Caenorhabditis elegans: one gene and its partner. The protein of the gene in region 2 purifies or fractionates together with the protein of the main gene of each other region. This does not show direct contact. Each region holds a gene or a part of one and is shown on either strand. Other genes may lie near its edges. The genes, in order: F16H6.8 and scl-3.

Evidence for each region.
Region 1: the proteins of scl-3 (region 2) and F16H6.8 fractionate together in Caenorhabditis elegans (co-fractionation; one large-scale study listed by BioGRID). This does not show direct contact.

The regions. Positions count from the first base shown.
Region 1 is NC_003283.11:18,212,414-18,221,300, reverse strand, and holds F16H6.8 (Mediator of RNA polymerase II transcription subunit 1), read left to right. Parts: upstream 1-5,025; coding exon 5,026-5,245; intron 5,246-6,440; coding exon 6,441-6,797; intron 6,798-6,845; coding exon 6,846-7,205; intron 7,206-7,253; coding exon 7,254-7,624; downstream 7,625-8,887. Other genes in the region: F16H6.9 (BPI2 domain-containing protein), read right to left, coding at 916-1,272, 1,321-1,677, 3,300-3,656, 3,705-4,061, 4,199-4,217.
Region 2 is NC_003282.8:13,055,030-13,063,456, forward strand, and holds scl-3 (SCP domain-containing protein), read left to right. Parts: upstream 1-4,554; 5' UTR 4,555-4,598; coding exon 4,599-4,641; intron 4,642-4,692; coding exon 4,693-4,829; intron 4,830-5,071; coding exon 5,072-5,427; intron 5,428-5,473; coding exon 5,474-5,573; 3' UTR 5,574-5,666; downstream 5,667-8,427. Other genes in the region: F49E11.7 (Serine/threonine-protein phosphatase), read left to right, coding at 1-125; scl-1 (SCP domain-containing protein), read left to right, coding at 1,362-1,529, 1,675-1,812, 1,860-2,077, 2,133-2,232; scl-2 (SCP domain-containing protein), read left to right, coding at 2,693-2,866, 2,918-3,055, 3,226-3,437, 3,870-3,969.

The DNA of each region.
Region 1 (8,887 bases), on a different chromosome or scaffold from region 2:
TTTTTGATCTACCTTGTTGACTAGGCGGCCACAAAAAAAAACAACGGCAATAAGATTGGGGGCGGAGTCAAGTTCAACAGGTAGATCAAAAATAAATTATGAGAAATTTGTGCCATCGTCTTTTTTCGATAATAAGAACTTAGTAGTTTTGGTGCTCCAAAAATATACCATTTTTCGGAGTTTGTTAAGAACGGCAAATTTCGAGATTTGTCGCACATCCCTGGATCACATCAGGAGTGGGCGGCAAACGATTTTTTGCAAATGGCAAATTGCCGGAATTGCAATTTTCCAGCAAATCGGCAAACCGACCAGTTGCCGATTTGCCGAATTTGCAGAAAAAAACGGCGAGTGCCGAAAATTTTTGGCATATTGTGGTTTTGCACATTTTTTTTTGGAAATTTCAGAGTTTCAATTTCAATCGGCAACATTGTAAGCATCCTATGAATTTTCCTACAGCTACTTTCACAGAGCGGCTTTTACTACGTGGCCTAGAAAAATCAAAAACTCGGCCAATAATTTATCTGGGATTTTTGACGTGGGATGTTTCTGAAACTTGACGAGAATGTTCTCGAAAAGGGGTTCTATAGTTCCACCGTAGCGATTTTTGAGAAAATGTTCCGTATCCATATTGTGAAGGTGGCCGAGTTTTCCTATTTTACGGCCACGTAGTAAAAACCGCTCTGTGCTTTAAAAAGTAAGCAAATTATAAGAAATATCAGAAGAAAACGGAAAAAAGAGTTTCAAAAAGGCACAGTTTCCGTCTCATGAAAAATATCTCTAAAAATTTCCGGCAAATCTGATATCCGACAAACGGCAAATCGGCAAGTTAGCAAAAATTAAATGTTCCGGCAAATCGGCAGACGGCAAATTGCCGATTTGCCGAACGACAGGTCATACTTGACTAACTTGACCTACCTTTTGTGAACATTCTTTCACAAGCATTGTAGTAATATGAATCACTCATCAGGGCACCCATTGCGGTTGCAGATCTGGATCGAACTGCTTCCAATAGCGAATCCAGGAAAACTAGCAATACTTGTCTTTTCTGATCAACTTGACCGACGCTTTTTTGACAGTGAAACTGCTTCGCATGAATCAGAAGTCCACCATTCCCGGCCACCGCTACACCGAATCGAATATCAATTGGTACAGAACGCAGCCCGGTCACAGTGATGTCGACCAGATAATACTCAGGTAATTCTATGACTTCAATGACATCGAACTCCACTTCCCTGTCGGCTGGTCGGTTGACAAGACGTTGAATTATTTCTTCTGAAAAATAAGAAACTATTCATTAGTTCCATAACCAATCTGAATTACCCTTTGAGAATGTTCTATCGCACGCTTCAAAGATATACTTGTCATATATCAGATCGCCAATTGCGGATGGAGATCTTGAATGAATTGCTTCCAATAGTTGATCCAGGAAATCATTAATCACACTTTTTGTCTGAGTGACCTGACTGACTGCGTTTTGGCAGTTGAATTGTTTTGCATGAGTCAAGAGAGCACTGTTCCCTTTGACCTTTACATCAAATGCAATATCAATTTGTACAGATCGGAGTCCGGTTACAGTGATGAGGACGGTAAAATGTCCCGCATTTTCTTTATAGGCTGTGATATTGAACTCAACATTTCTGTCTGCTGGTAGGTTGACAATACGTTCAATGATTTTATCTAAAATATAGGAGAATAATCATTCGGGGCATACAGGGTTGGTCAGGATTTTGTGGACGCAAAGACGTGACAGATTGCATAAGAAATGAGCTACTTATTTAGAACAGTGCGTCCAACTTCTATAGGACCCCCCTCAGTTCTGGTGGTTTGAGATTTACTGAACATTTTCGTGAAAAACTGCCAATGCCATTCGATTTTAAATGTCAAAAAACATATACCCGTATAATTTCATGATGATAGCTCAAAAACTACGCGCGCCCGGGCTGAAAGTCAAAAAAACGGCCGTCCAACTTCTATAAGACCCCCAGTTTTTTGAAATTTTATCGAAAAAAGCACTGAAATTTTAAAAACTTATCAAATTATTTTTTTGAGATGTTTACATAAAAATGATCTAAACATCTCAATTGCTCATAACAAACTAAAATATGTCACGCGAAAGTGCTGGGAAGCAACCGGGACCGTTCTGTACCTCATTTTTGAGCTTGAGAGTCCAGTACTTTGCTTCCAGTAGTCCTAATATCACAAAAAGTTTGGAAAATGTTAGTGTACATCCAAAGATTGTTCCTGTGAAATTTCGTCTAATTTGGAGTATTTTCAGATGTTTTATGGCAAAAATAATTCAATGACACAGGTAGCTGAGGCATTTTTAACCAAAAAATTTGGCTTACAAACTATTTTTGCCATAAAACATCTGAAAATGCTCCAAATTAGACAAAATTTCACAGGAACAATCTTTGGATATACACTAACATTTTCCAAACTTTTTGTGATATTAGGACTACTGGGAGCAAAGTACTGGGCTCAGAAGCACTGAAAAGTGGTACAGGACGGTCCCGTTTGCTTCCCAGCACTTTCGCGTGACATATTTTAGTTTGTTATGAGCAATTGAGATGTTAAGATAATTTTTATGTAATCATCTCAAAAAAATAATTTGATAAGTTTTTAAAATTTCAGCCGTTTTTTTGACTTTCAGCCCGGGCGCGCGTAGTTTTTGAGCTATCATCATGAAATTATACGGGTATATGTTTTTTGACATTTAAAATCAAATGGCATTGGCAGTTTTCCACAAAAATGTTCAGGAAGTCTCAAACCACCAAAATTGAGGGGGGTCCTATAGAAGTTGGACGCACTGTATAAGACCTTAAATTTTGGTATACTAGGTTTAGAAAATCAGTAACATTTAAATAATGTGGAGCAGCTGGATGATTAAAGGAAGCTGGATAAGCTACCGTATTTCTTCTATTAATATGGCTGCAATACTATTTTTCGATGGCCTTCCCGTTTGCAATACTATTAGGGAGTGCAAGTCTAATAGGGAGGCCATATTAATAGAAGATATACGGTTCTTCAGATTTCAAATTTTGGACTAAAACTGAGTGTTATAACAACACGTGGTGCCAGGCTGACCCATTAAATTCTGATCTACAAAAAAAAGGCGGGAATTGTTTTCCAAAATAAAGTGACGTCAGCACTCTTATGCGAAATATGGTGAACAGTCTGCGTGATCTACGTAGATCAAAATGATGAGGCATCAAAACACTCTGACACCACATGTGACATGAATCATGTATTTGTCATAGTGTTAATCTAGCTGTATGACCAACATAATTATGATCGCTCACCCTTTGAGACGTTTCTTTCACAAGCTTCAAAGATATACGAGTCCGTCATCAGGTCGCAAAGGGCAGATGCTGATCTTGATCGCATTGCTGCCAACAACGAGTCCAGGAAAACAAACAGATTTTTGGTCTTATCTACCAGATTAGGGTTGTTAGGACAATGCAATTGTTGTGCTTGAACCAGAAGTATAGTATTCTCTTTCACACCTACAGCGAATCTGATATCAATTGGAACAGAACGGAGTCCGGTCACAGTGATGTCGACCAAATAATATATCTCATTAATTTCTACAATACGTTTGACATCAAAATCAAAAGTTCTGTCGGCTGGTCGGTTGACAAGGCGTTGGACGATTTCGTCTAAAGAATAAAAAACCACTCATCAGTCTCATAACAAATCTGAATTACCTTTTGAGAATTTTCTTTCGCACGCTACAAAGATATATTTGTCATCTATGAATGCGCTAATTGTGGTGGCATCTCTTGATCGAATTGCTATCAATAGTGAATCCAGGAAAATGTTTATTACACTCTTTCTCTGATCAACCTGACTGACGGCGTTTTGGCAGTTAAATTGTTTCGCATTAGTCAAGAGAGCACTATTTCCCAAAATCTCTACATCAAAGGCAATATCAATTGGTACAGATCGGAGCCCGGTTACAGTGATGAGGACGGTAAAATGTCCCGCATTTTGTTTATAAGCTGTAACAATGAACTCGACATTTCTGTCTGCTGGGAGGTTGACAATACGTTCGATGATTTCGTCTGAAATATAGGAGAATGTTCAAAAGTTATATAGATACAAGGTGGATCATGATTTTGTGAGATCGTCATTCGCTAGGAATTCTCGATAGTTTACTCGTGCAATCCGAATTAAGATCGTATTCCTTGTAAAAACTAACTTTGGATAATGGCAAACATGTTTGGAACACGACTTATGTTAAAATTTACGAGACAACATTTTGTGCCTAAAACTAGGGCTCCCGCAAAGGCGCCTCCGCCGGCCTCAGCTGTCGCCGCGCCGGCCTCACGGCGTCATCCACGCCGCATGTACAATGAGGTGCGTAACCGCGAACGTCAGAACTGGTCAATTTTCTTTTAATTCAATCAGAAACTCAGAAAAATCCAAATTACGAGCAGTATGTAGTCTACTGGTAAACTAGCCTTTTCTTTCGAAATTTATACGCTCGGGCTGGAAAGAGCCTCTCATAATGGGCAGAAGCCCTGGCAAGAGGAACTTTTGACAACTTGTAAAGTAAGGGCGCTATAAGGTCATAAGCTGAATGTACCCTAATGTATAGTGCGACGCGGAACCCCGAACGTGTCGGCCGCTTCAAATAACTACCTCTCGCACATCATTTCACGCACACTGCGGCGCGCGGCTTCAGCGCGCGGCTTCGGCGCAAGGCCGGCGGGCGTGAAGCCGGCGTGAGGCCCGCATTTCGCGCCTCACTCAGCTGGGAGCCCTACCTAAAACTGAGTTTTATAACAACACATGGTGTCATTCTGTACCATTACAGGTTGATCTAAAAAAAATGAGAGAATGTTTTAAATCATGCAAAATTTGTTAAGAATTCTGACTCTGAATTTCCGCAAATCCTGGAAAATCTAAGTAGATCAAATCGAAAAGGGACACTCTGGCATTAAATGTAACATAAAGCATGTAGAAACAAAGGTGTATTACTTCGTCGACATCACTGTCACCGGACTCCGCTCTGTTCCAGTTGATATGAGATTTGTTGTAGATGTGACAGGGAATAGTACACTCTTGGCTTTTGCACAACAATTGAACTGTCAAAACAACCCCAATCTGGTAGATAAGACCAAAAATCTGTTTGATTTCCTGGACTCGCTGTTGGCAGCAATGCGATCAAGATCAGCATCTGCCATTGGCGCCCTGATTTCTGATTCATATGTATTCAAAGCATGCGAGAGAAAGTTTTCAAAGGGTAAGTGAAATAAAAGAGCACTGTAAAAGTCAGAATAATGCGGACTCGTTGAATGATTTGAATTGAATTGATAGTTCAATTAAGTTCCTTCCATTTACTTTAACATAAACCGTATCCCGCTGTTAAACTACTATAGATCCTTGTCAAATCAACTTTCTTACGACTTTTGGCGACTTGCATTTTTTGAGCCTTCAGGCTTACAACCCTGGGTTTTTACACAGATTTCTATACACTTAGCTTAGGTGAAATTATTTAGTGCAACTGGGGACACAGTTAGAGTAACCCTTGGACAAATACATGCTTTATGTTACATTTAATGCCAGAGTGTCCCTTTTCGATTTGATCTACTTAGATTTTCCAGGATTTGCGGAAATTCAGAGTCAGAATTCTTAACAAATTTTGCATGATTTAAAACATTCTCTCATTTTTTTTAGATCAACCTGTAATGGTACAGAATGACACCATGTGTTGTTATAAAACTCAGTTTTAGGTAGGGCTCCCAGCTGAGTGAGGCGCGAAATGCGGGCCTCACGCAGGCTTCACGCCCGCCGGCCTTGCGCCGAAGCCGCGCGCTGAAGCCGCGCGCCGCAGTGTGCGTGAAATGATGTGCGAGAGGTAGTTATTTGAAGCGGCCGACACGTTCGGGGTTCCGCGTCGCACTATACATTAGGGTACATTCAGCTTATGACCTTATAGCGCCCTTACTTTACAAGTTGTCAAAAGTTCCTCTTGCCAGGGCTTCTGCCCATTATGAGAGGCTCTTTCCAGCCCGAGCGTATAAATTTCGAAAGAAAAGGCTAGTTTACCAGTAGACTACATACTGCTCGTAATTTGGATTTTTCTGAGTTTCTGATTGAATTAAAAGAAAATTGACCAGTTCTGACGTTCGCGGTTACGCACCTCATTGTACATGCGGCGTGGATGACGCCGTGAGGCCGGCGCGGCGACAGCTGAGGCCGGCGGAGGCGCCTTTGCGGGAGCCCTAGTTTTAGGCACAAAATGTTGTCTCGTAAATTTTAACATAAGTCGTGTTCCAAACATGTTTGCCATTATCCAAAGTTAGTTTTTACAAGGAATACGATCTTAATTCGGATTGCACGAGTAAACTATCGAGAATTCCTAGCGAATGACGATCTCACAAAATCATGATCCACCTTGTATCTATATAACTTTTGAACATTCTCCTATATTTCAGACGAAATCATCGAACGTATTGTCAACCTCCCAGCAGACAGAAATGTCGAGTTCATTGTTACAGCTTATAAACAAAATGCGGGACATTTTACCGTCCTCATCACTGTAACCGGGCTCCGATCTGTACCAATTGATATTGCCTTTGATGTAGAGATTTTGGGAAATAGTGCTCTCTTGACTAATGCGAAACAATTTAACTGCCAAAACGCCGTCAGTCAGGTTGATCAGAGAAAGAGTGTAATAAACATTTTCCTGGATTCACTATTGATAGCAATTCGATCAAGAGATGCCACCACAATTAGCGCATTCATAGATGACAAATATATCTTTGTAGCGTGCGAAAGAAAATTCTCAAAAGGTAATTCAGATTTGTTATGAGACTGATGAGTGGTTTTTTATTCTTTAGACGAAATCGTCCAACGCCTTGTCAACCGACCAGCCGACAGAACTTTTGATTTTGATGTCAAACGTATTGTAGAAATTAATGAGATATATTATTTGGTCGACATCACTGTGACCGGACTCCGATCTGTACAAATTGATATTGCATTTGATGTAAAGGTCAAAGGGAACAGTGCTCTCTTGACTCATGCAAAACAATTCAACTGCCAAAACGCAGTCAGTCAGGTCACTCAGACAAAAAGTGTGATTAATGATTTCCTGGATCAACTATTGGAAGCAATTCATTCAAGATCTCCATCCGCAATTGGCGATCTGATATATGACAAGTATATCTTTGAAGCGTGCGATAGAACATTCTCAAAGGGTAATTCAGATTGGTTATGGAACTAATGAATAGTTTCTTATTTTTCAGAAGAAATAATTCAACGTCTTGTCAACCGACCAGCCGACAGGGAAGTGGAGTTCGATGTCATTGAAGTCATAGAATTACCTGAGTATTATCTGGTCGACATCACTGTGACCGGGCTGCGTTCTGTACCAATTGATATTCGATTCGGTGTAGCGGTGGCCGGGAATGGTGGACTTCTGATTCATGCGAAGCAGTTTCACTGTCAAAAAAGCGTCGGTCAAGTTGATCAGAAAAGACAAGTATTGCTAGTTTTCCTGGATTCGCTATTGGAAGCAGTTCGATCCAGATCTGCAACCGCAATGGGTGCCCTGATGAGTGATTCATATTACTACAATGCTTGTGAAAGAATGTTCACAAAAGGTAGGTCAAGTTAGTCAAGTATGACCTGTCGTTCGGCAAATCGGCAATTTGCCGTCTTATTCGTTTGTGTGAAACACATCGAAAAAAGTGAAAAGCTGCCTGGCCTAGCTCCCTTCCGAATCCTGAGCAAGAGAAAATTTAATGCTTACATTGTTAAGCTTGGAGCACGAACGGATCAAAATCAAACGACGAGCACTAGGAGTTGATGGAGCAGACAGCGAGACTTCAGGTGTGGAACTTGAATCGAGTACTGATTTAGCGATTGATTGATGGAGACATGGCTGAGGGGGGAGGTCGATGTCACGTGAGAATTTTTAAATCTTAAAGAGAATAAACAAAAATTAATGATTTTGTCATGAAAGGTCAAACACGTTTCTGTTGTTGGCAGCAATATGAGAAAAAATAATCAAGCTGCAGAGTTGGTCGTTCTGGTCCTGGCGATGATGTGCTGTCGTTTCGGTTGGTCTTCCTGGCAATTTTTGCATTGAGATTATTGATCGGGCAAAATTTGGCATTTTAGCTAAAATCAGTACAATTTTTCGAAATTTTGAGCGGCGATAAAAAACTTTTGTAACGTTACTGAGAAGTTTCACTACGTAATTTGTTTATTTGAGCACGCCGACGCCGCGGTGTGTGTGCACAGAAGTGCGAGAGGTGGTTATTCGGAAGCAGCCGACACGTTCGGGTTCCGCAGCTTGCCGTGAAATGAGTAGCTTGGTGTGTGCGCAACGTAGTGCAAAGTTATTTGGAAGCGGCCGACACGTTCAAGGTTCCGCGCCGCGCTATCCGTGCGGCGTAAGGGATGCCGTGAGGCCGGCGCGGCGGCAGCCTTATTTTGGGTATATATAATACGTTCAAAATCGTCCAAACCGTTCGTCCTCCTTTAAAGTATTTTATTGAAAAAAAAACATGGTAATCAATAAATCTTATGAACATTTATCAACAAAAAAAAGTACAATTAATTAATTCAGACCATTTCCTCCAACTCCTTTCTGAGCTTTTTGCAATGGTTGAGAGCTTTACTCAATTCTTCGAATTTTAGCGTGAAGAAGTCGATCGATTTGTCTCGAGCCTCGGGCACATATTCTAAGAATTGGGTGATCTCTCGATTTTCCAAAGAATCTGTAATTCTCTCTATTGTTCTATGTATATTGCCTAAACAAACCTTCTAGTGGATATAGATTTGCCAACCCAATGAAGTAGGTGAACGCGCACATAAAAATGTAATGTACAAAGAAAAATACCCTTAGATACCAAAAAGATATTTTGTCAGCGAC
Region 2 (8,427 bases):
ATTTGGAAAGAAAAAAGTCGGGTTCAATGCCAGTCAAACATTTGAAAACATCGTCGTCGTCGTCGCCGTCGCACTCGAACGGCAAAAGCAAGGGCGGAGAGGGGCTTTCTCTTGGAAAGATTTAGACTGAAATTAATAGTTTGTGTATAATTTCCAATATTTTTTGCAAGAAAAGTGTAAGAAAAATTTTGAATTTTTTGAATTTTCAGGTTTTTTTTGACAAAATTCAGTACAAAATGAATGACTAAAATGAATAAATATTTTATTTGAAAGATAATAACAATGCAAGCGTTTTCAAACGTGCGGTATAATTGTTTCTGACTCCAATCATTTAGACCAAACAAAAAAATCAAATGATGATTTCACAAAAACTACAGTAGCAATAGTTCCATCTTCCCTTTCGATATCCCAACCATCGGAACAATCAAATTCTTGAAAACCGATTCTGAAATTGGAAATTGATACCGTATTTCCTATGTCAGTTTAGCATCCCTACAGATTTTTAAGTAAATTAGAAATTTATTCACTTGTTGCCAGACCTACACATTGTTTGAAATAAATAAATAAATAAATAATTTTTTTGCCAAAGAACAATCATTTTTCCTTTTTACCACTAATACCTGTATACTTTTTCTCGGCGTACTTCGTCCCATCGACTAACTACTATTTCATTCAACACCACTACCCAATCTCTTATTTTGAAATCATGGTCCAAGTGGAATCTTCTCAATTCTTTCATGTTTCCGTTTAATCAATTACGGATAAAATGATTCAAGTATTCTGGAGTAAAGCTATGGTTCCATATTGTCAGTTCTTCACACTTCATCAATTTGAAGTCCTCAAGTGTAAATCCTGGATTGAAGTAAGAATCCAGTCGGCGAATATTGAATAAGTTAAATTTAAAATTACAGATAAATTACGATTTAGTTTATTATAATTATTAATATTAATGAGGAAATCAGTACTTACTATATTTTTTGTCAAAGTATAAAGTTTTGTTAATAAAGTTTTGTTCCAGTTTTTTGCTTGATTCTCTAGTAATTATTCGAGTACAAACCAGGGGTGGGCGGCAAATTTACCAAATTTGCCGAGTCGAAAAGTGTGTGGGTTTGAAGCCCGATAGCATAATATTTTCAGTCCGGCTGATCTTTTTGATATCCGTAAAAAGCTCAATTTGTTGTTGTTATTGACCAAATCGTTTGGATCATTTATGAGTTTTCTCTACAATGGACAAAAATAAAGATTGTTGTTGTTTACGTTTTGCAAATATTAAAAGTTATTTGAAAATCTCGTACTTGATTAAAAAACTCCTCTCATAAAAAGCAGCACGTTTGCAACTTTAAATCATAATTTTGTTTGCCATGTACTTCATTCTCTGCCTCCTAGCAATTGGTGTCAATGCTCAATTCACTTCAACTGGTCAATCAAGCATTGTGGATGCTCATAACAAATTGAGATCCGCTATTGCAAAGAGTACCTATGTTGCGAAGGGAACCAAAAAAGAACCAGCAACTGATATGAGGAAAATGGTAGGTTTTAAATTGCCCAATTATGTCAAATAAAAAACTTAAAGTTTTCTTTTTTCAAGAGTTTCAAGTCATTCAAGTTGGGGTAACTTTTGGCAATCATATTTGAACAAAAAGCCCAATGATGATACTTCAATAAACTTTTCAGGTCGTGGATTCCACCGTAGCTGCGTCGGCTCAGAATTATGCGAATACGTGCCCAACTGGACACTCAAAGGGAACTGGATATGGGGAAAATTTGTATTGGTCTTGGACTTCTGCGGATGTTGGATCCTTGGATTCCTATGTGAGTCGCATAACTTTTCTGGGACAGAAATCAATAATTCTTTCCAGGGAGAAATCGCCGCTGCCGCATGGGAAAAGGAATTCCAAGACTTTGGCTGGAAGTCTAACGCAATGGATACCACCCTATTCAACAGTGGAATAGGACACGCTACTCAAATGGCTTGGGCAAACACCAGCTCCATCGGGTGTGGAGTCAAGAATTGTGGACGAGACGCATCGATGAGAAATATGAACAAAATAGCTGTAGTCTGCCAGTATAGTCCACCGTAAGCACTGAAGTTTTTGATTTTTTTTAACTCAAAATTGTTCAAAAATATTCAGAGGAAACACTATGGGACGGCCGATTTATAAGGAAGGAACTACGTGTTCCAGCTGTTCCGGATCTACTAAATGTGACACTGCTTCTGGGCTTTGCGGATAATGAGAGATTTCACTTTTTGTGTCTGTAATTTTTTAATTTATTTGTTTTGTTTTAATCTGGGAATTAATTTACTAATGAAGCATTTGTTTTTTCTTGGTGATTATATAAAAAAAATAAAGCGAAAACTTTAAATTACACCAAACTTTTTTAAAATTTACGAAAATGCACACAACATCAAGTGCAGGCAAAAGTAAAACATTCTACTTGCCTATGTGCCAACAACAAAATTAGGAAGAAAATTCACTTCTTCCTAATCAGAATACTTGTTGACTTGACTCAAATGTTCATAATTACTGATAAAAGTCAATTCTTTGGTCTTGTGCTGCCCACTTCCGATCATACGTAGCTTACGATTTCTCAATTATCATACAATTTTACAGGTTTTCGCGTGATAAGACTCCTATAAAATGAACCGCAGTGATAAACATATTCGTGTTGACTTGCACTTTTTTCTCCAATTATGAATTACTTGTTGCTGGTTGTGGCGCTTGCTGTTGGCTGCTCCGCTGATTTCGGCTCTTCCGGACAAAACGGAATTATCAATGCACATAACACTCTGCGGTCTAAAATTGCAAAAGGTACCTACGTGGCAAAAGGAACTCAGAAATCGCCGGGAACAAATCTGTTGAAAATGGTATGTACATAACTAAGGTTCTCAGATTTATTTTTGATTTCAACTTTTCAGAAATGGGATTCCGCAGTCGCCGCATCCGCCCAAAACTACGCAAACGGGTGTCCGACGGGACACTCTGGAGATGCAGGCCTTGGGGAGAATTTGTATTGGTATTGGACAAGTGGATCTCTGGGAGACCTCAATCAATATGTCAGTCATTTAGTCTACCTTGTGCCTGCCTGCCTAGACCTACTGCCTATTTTGTTCAAATTTTGCCTAAATACAACATGCGAATATTGGCAGTAGGCAGGAGGCAGGCGCTTGATACCTTCTTTATTTTAAAAGTTTCTGAAATTTCTATAATCAATCTTTTCATTCAGGGATCTGCTGCGTCGGCATCATGGGAAAAAGAATTCCAAGATTACGGATGGAAGTCTAACCTTATGACTATCGATCTCTTCAACACAGGAATCGGACACGCGACTCAAATGGCGTGGGCGAAATCCAACCTGATCGGATGTGGAGTCAAGGATTGTGGAAGAGACTCAAACGGCCTGAACAAAGTAACCGTCGTGTGCCAGTACAAGCCGCAGTAAGTGAGATTTGTTGACTAGTCTATGTTGACTGTGTCTGCGAATGTTGTGTTTTGTGTTGTTCTCTAGGATAGGTTTGCAAAAAAGATAAATTTTTGGTCACGTTCCCTGAAACAAAATCCAAAAAATTAGGCAATTTTCAACAAATTTTGATCATTTTGAGGAGATCATTAAAAACAAAAAACCCAATAAAAATTATACAAAAATACGAAAAATATTGTTGTTGGCGAAAAGTGAACTGTGCTTCGACAACTGGTAAAGTAGTCTTGAACACTTTGTGAGTTAGGATTTTTCTGAAGAGTAAAAAGTAGTTTTAGGAAAATTAATTTCAACCGAGACAAAATTTTTAACATAAAAAAAAATTGAAAAGTGTATGTGCGAGAGAGCCCTGTTGAATACAAGCTACTGTTTGCTAATACATCAATTTTCAGAGGAAACTTCATTAATCAATACATCTACGTATCGGGAGCAACCTGTTCCGGCTGTCCATCAGGAACGTCATGTGAGACTTCCACAGGGCTCTGCGTCTAAACTTTAATAATGCAATGTGTTTTCAAACTTTCTGTAGATAATAAATAAAATTGTGTGCTAGTTGAAAACCAGAACACAAACAACCTTTGATCAAAATGCCTATGTAACAAATGCGACGATTACGTGTTCGAAATCCTATTGGCAGATTTGGAGTATAATGAGCAGTTAGAACTTTATTGGGAGGTCAAAGACTACTTGTGTCTAGAGATGTATCTAAGTTATGAAAAAAGTTCAAGCTATAGGTTTTTTGACTACGATATCTTGTATGTATTTTCAAAGATGTTGGTGATTTAGTTGAAAGTTAACAGCTTGAAAACGTTTTTATTTTTCCGTTTCTGACTTCCATGAATTTCAAAAAATTACCGTATGTCTGTATTGTTACTATCTACTGTGTGAAATTTCAAAAAATGAAATCCAACTTCAGCCTCCCTTTTGTATATAAAACAAACAATGTCAACATAAAACTCTTACCAATTTAGTCTATTTCTATTAAAGCACACGTTCTTTAGTTTTTTCCCTCTTCCCATGACTTTTAGTTTCCCTCACGGCGACGACGACATCCAGTTGTTCATACAAACTAAAATCTCCTATAAATATCCAACCTACTAGTTGTATTTTCAACAGACAACATGCACACCTTTACTCTTCTCGTTTTGGTTACCCTTCAGATTGGTAAGTTTTTTTTTTGGAAATTTTTGAAACTAATTTTCTTCAATTTTTCAGGAGCTTATGCTCAATTCAGAGAAAGCACTCAACAATTCATTGTGGACCTTCATAATAAGCTTCGTACTTCAATTGCCAAGGGAACATATGTGGCTAAAGGGACAACAAAAGCAGCTGGTAGTAATCTTTTGAAAATGGTAGGTTTTCGGCAGTTAGTTACTTTGTGATTTTCCAATGAATGGAACCTTCAGTTGAAGGTCTTTGCTAGGTTCAAGTGCTCTTCAGAGCATTTTCTAAAGTTTCAGTCGGCTTCTCTACAGATCTGGGAGCACTTGATCTGGAGTTAATTAAAGGGTCTGATGTAGAGCTGGCGTAGACTTCTTAGACCTCGCCTACTATCGCCTACTACTCACTCCTTATACCTCCAATACCATTTCAGAAGTGGGACACCACATTGGCCACCGCTGCTCAAACTTTTGCTAACACTTGCCCGAGAGGTCACTCCAATGCAGCTGGAGTTGGAGAGAACTTGTACTGGAGATGGTCCAGCCTCCCATTCTCCGGAATGGATATCTATGGAGGAGCTGCATCTGTTGCCTGGGAACAAGAATTCCAGCAGTACGGATGGACAACCAACACTTTCACTCAAGCCCTTGCTAACACTGGAATTGGACATGCTACCCAAATGGCTTGGGCTAATACTGGTCTGATTGGATGTGGAGTGAAGAACTGCGGACCTGATCCAGAACTAAATAACTATAACAGAGCTGTTGTGGTTTGCCAATACAAGGCTCAGTAAGCATTTGAAGCAAACATGCACATAAAAACGATGAATTTTCAGAGGAAACTATTTGGGTCAAGACATCTACAAGTCAGGAACCACTTGCTCAGCGTGCCCAACTGGAACCACTTGTGAAGCTGCCACTGGACTTTGTGTATAAACTTGTGGAAAATGATTGAAACGTAGATAATATTTCAACACTGCCCATTGCATTCCAATATTCTTTCCATTGTGTAATAAATTTTCTTATATTTTTTTGATGGACTGGATAATAAGAAAAAAGCGGCCTAATGTGTACATGAGTCAGAGATCTATTGTATTCATTAAAAAATCTTCCAAACCAAAACATTATGCATAAACTACCTAATTAGTTTCTTATTTGTTCCTAATTTGGATCGAGCTTTTCATATAGGCACTAAAATCCCTTGCCTACCTGCCTTCAAGACGACCTACGCCTGGCTTATGCCTACATGGTGTAAACTCTGAACATCAGAGTTCCCAGCACCAGGCAGAGAAAAAGACACTGACGCCTGCCTACCTCCTATGAAATCCCTAATTTGAAGTTTAACCTTGCTCAAACGGGGCTCACTAAATACACAATGTGTCAAAAAATTGGCGAGACAAGTTTTGTACACCTGCTCGTTACCGCATGATCAACGATCTGTACCACGCATTTTCTCGAATGGAGCCTAGTTTACAAGCATCTGATTACACAAAATGGCTCATTGGATTATTGACTTAGAATAGGGGAAAATCGATCACGAACTGGAAATAAGAAGTTTACTCGAAAAAAGGTCTAACAATTTAATATTTCTGGTTACTTGGCAATTTTAGAAAATATTTTACAGTAACAACTTTTCTTGGACTTTCAAAGAAAAAGTGCCCTAACCGTTTTTTAAGAATTAAAAAAAATTTTAAGAAGCTTCCAGGATGTTAGCCTACTCCCGAAAATCTTTAAAATTTTGCTTTTGGGGTAGGCTCACGAGAAATTCGTTCTAAGTATGTAGATAACTATAATTTTTCTTCCGGGAATCAAAAATCATTGATCTTTGTATTTTCTTTGCGTACGTGTGTCTTTGTGTACGATTATCATAGTTTAAGTTTTTTTCTTCTTTTTCTGAAATATAACAATAAACTACACGAGAACATCTAGACGTATGTTTTGAAAATGTAAATTTGAGGTTTTCTGAAAATATAAAACTCTTGATCTCGAACTATTCGTGCATCAAACTAAGCCAGTTTTCTTCGTGATCTTCTGGATACTACATAAACTATATAAATATACAAAAACTATATTAAAACCTACGAAGTTTGATTTCGATATCGAAACAATGAGAACAACATTTCTCATAATTCTACTTAGTATACTGGCAATAGGTAAGGATAATATTTAACTCAAACGAACTAAATATATTTATGTTACAGGTAGCTCTGCTCAATTTGTGGCAAATACCCAACAATTTATAGTGGATATTCACAACACGTTTCGTTCAAAGCTTGCACTGGGAACTTATGTATCGAAGGGTGTGACGAAGCCAGCAGCAAGTAACATGTTGAAAATGGTAAGTTATTTTTGAAGTTGTGTTAGAGCACCATTTTATTGGCTTATATCTGCTCGAAACTTTGCAATTGGAAAAAAAAATTAAAGGTAGGGGCTTAAATTATTAAAAACCTCCAATAGTGTTGACCAAAATCGCAGTAAATATTCTTATAAAAATGTTTTAGTTACAGTCAAAAAGCGTTGAAAACTCAGTTTTCTTCAAAAAGATATCGACCAAAAAATATTTTCTACGAGGGCTACTTGTTTACTGATTAAAAAATTGTAGAAGTTTGAGCCAGCAGCAATTTTTCAAATTTAGTTTTTTAGTAATTCAAAAAGTCCACATTTTTAACAAAAAATTAACATTTTTCTGAGACTGAATTTTGAAAAATCTGAAATTTTGGAGTGTTTTGTTCCAGATCTGTCATGTTGGACTATTGTAAGTATAGTTAAACTAAATCCCCCATTGGCGATATTCCACCTTCAATCAAGTCTTCACAAATGAACACCTAATCCTCCAATTTTATAGAAATTGAACATCACACTGACTGTCTCAGCTCAAGCCTACGCAAACACATGCCCAAAAAATCACTCGAATCTCGAGTTGGGGAAAATATCTACTATAGATACACCACTGCGCCATTTTCCGGTATGAATGTTTATGGCGGAGCTGCGTCAGTCGCATGGGAGCAAGAAGTTCAGAGAAATGAATGGCCATCGAATATAATCTCAATCGATGTTTTGCTCGTGACCGATGAACTCAGAATCATTTTGCACGCAACACAAATGGCATGGGCAACATCTGGACAGATTGGATGTGGAGTTAAAAATTGTGGAAAGGATATGCCAGATAGACCAACTTTTAATCGAGGAGTCGTTGTGTGTCACTATAGCTCTTTTTAAGGAAAATAGCAAAAAACATTAGAAAAAGACTACGCAAAAATTACAGCAAAATGTCTAGGAGCCAAGATTTAGCGGAGCGTATTTTGGCTTAACGCAAAAATTTTCTTTGCATTTTTGCATCTTTTTAGGTTTTTTTTGTACTTTGGTCTAAAATTATTCTTAAAAAATTCTTTCCACGACACATACTACCTTTCTATCACAAAACTAAACATTTACAGAGGTAACATAATCAACCAGCAAGTGTATCAAACCGGGCCAACCTGCTCTGCTTGCCCAACCGGGACCACTTGTGAAACTGCAACCGGGCTATGTGGCTAATGCAACGAATTCAGAATTCTTTATTTTTTACAAGTTACTGCCAAATTAACCCAATATGCTTTCTGTGATAACCTGAAATAAAGCGTCTAACTTTTTGAATTTGAACATTGAAATATTGAAAACTTATCCGTCATAGCGAACCTTCTACGTAAAAACTAAACAACTGTTTTTGTAAATCATAATTTTTCAAATTGAGGATGACAATACAACACAGCTAAAAATATACATGAATCATTTAAATAGTGATAAATAC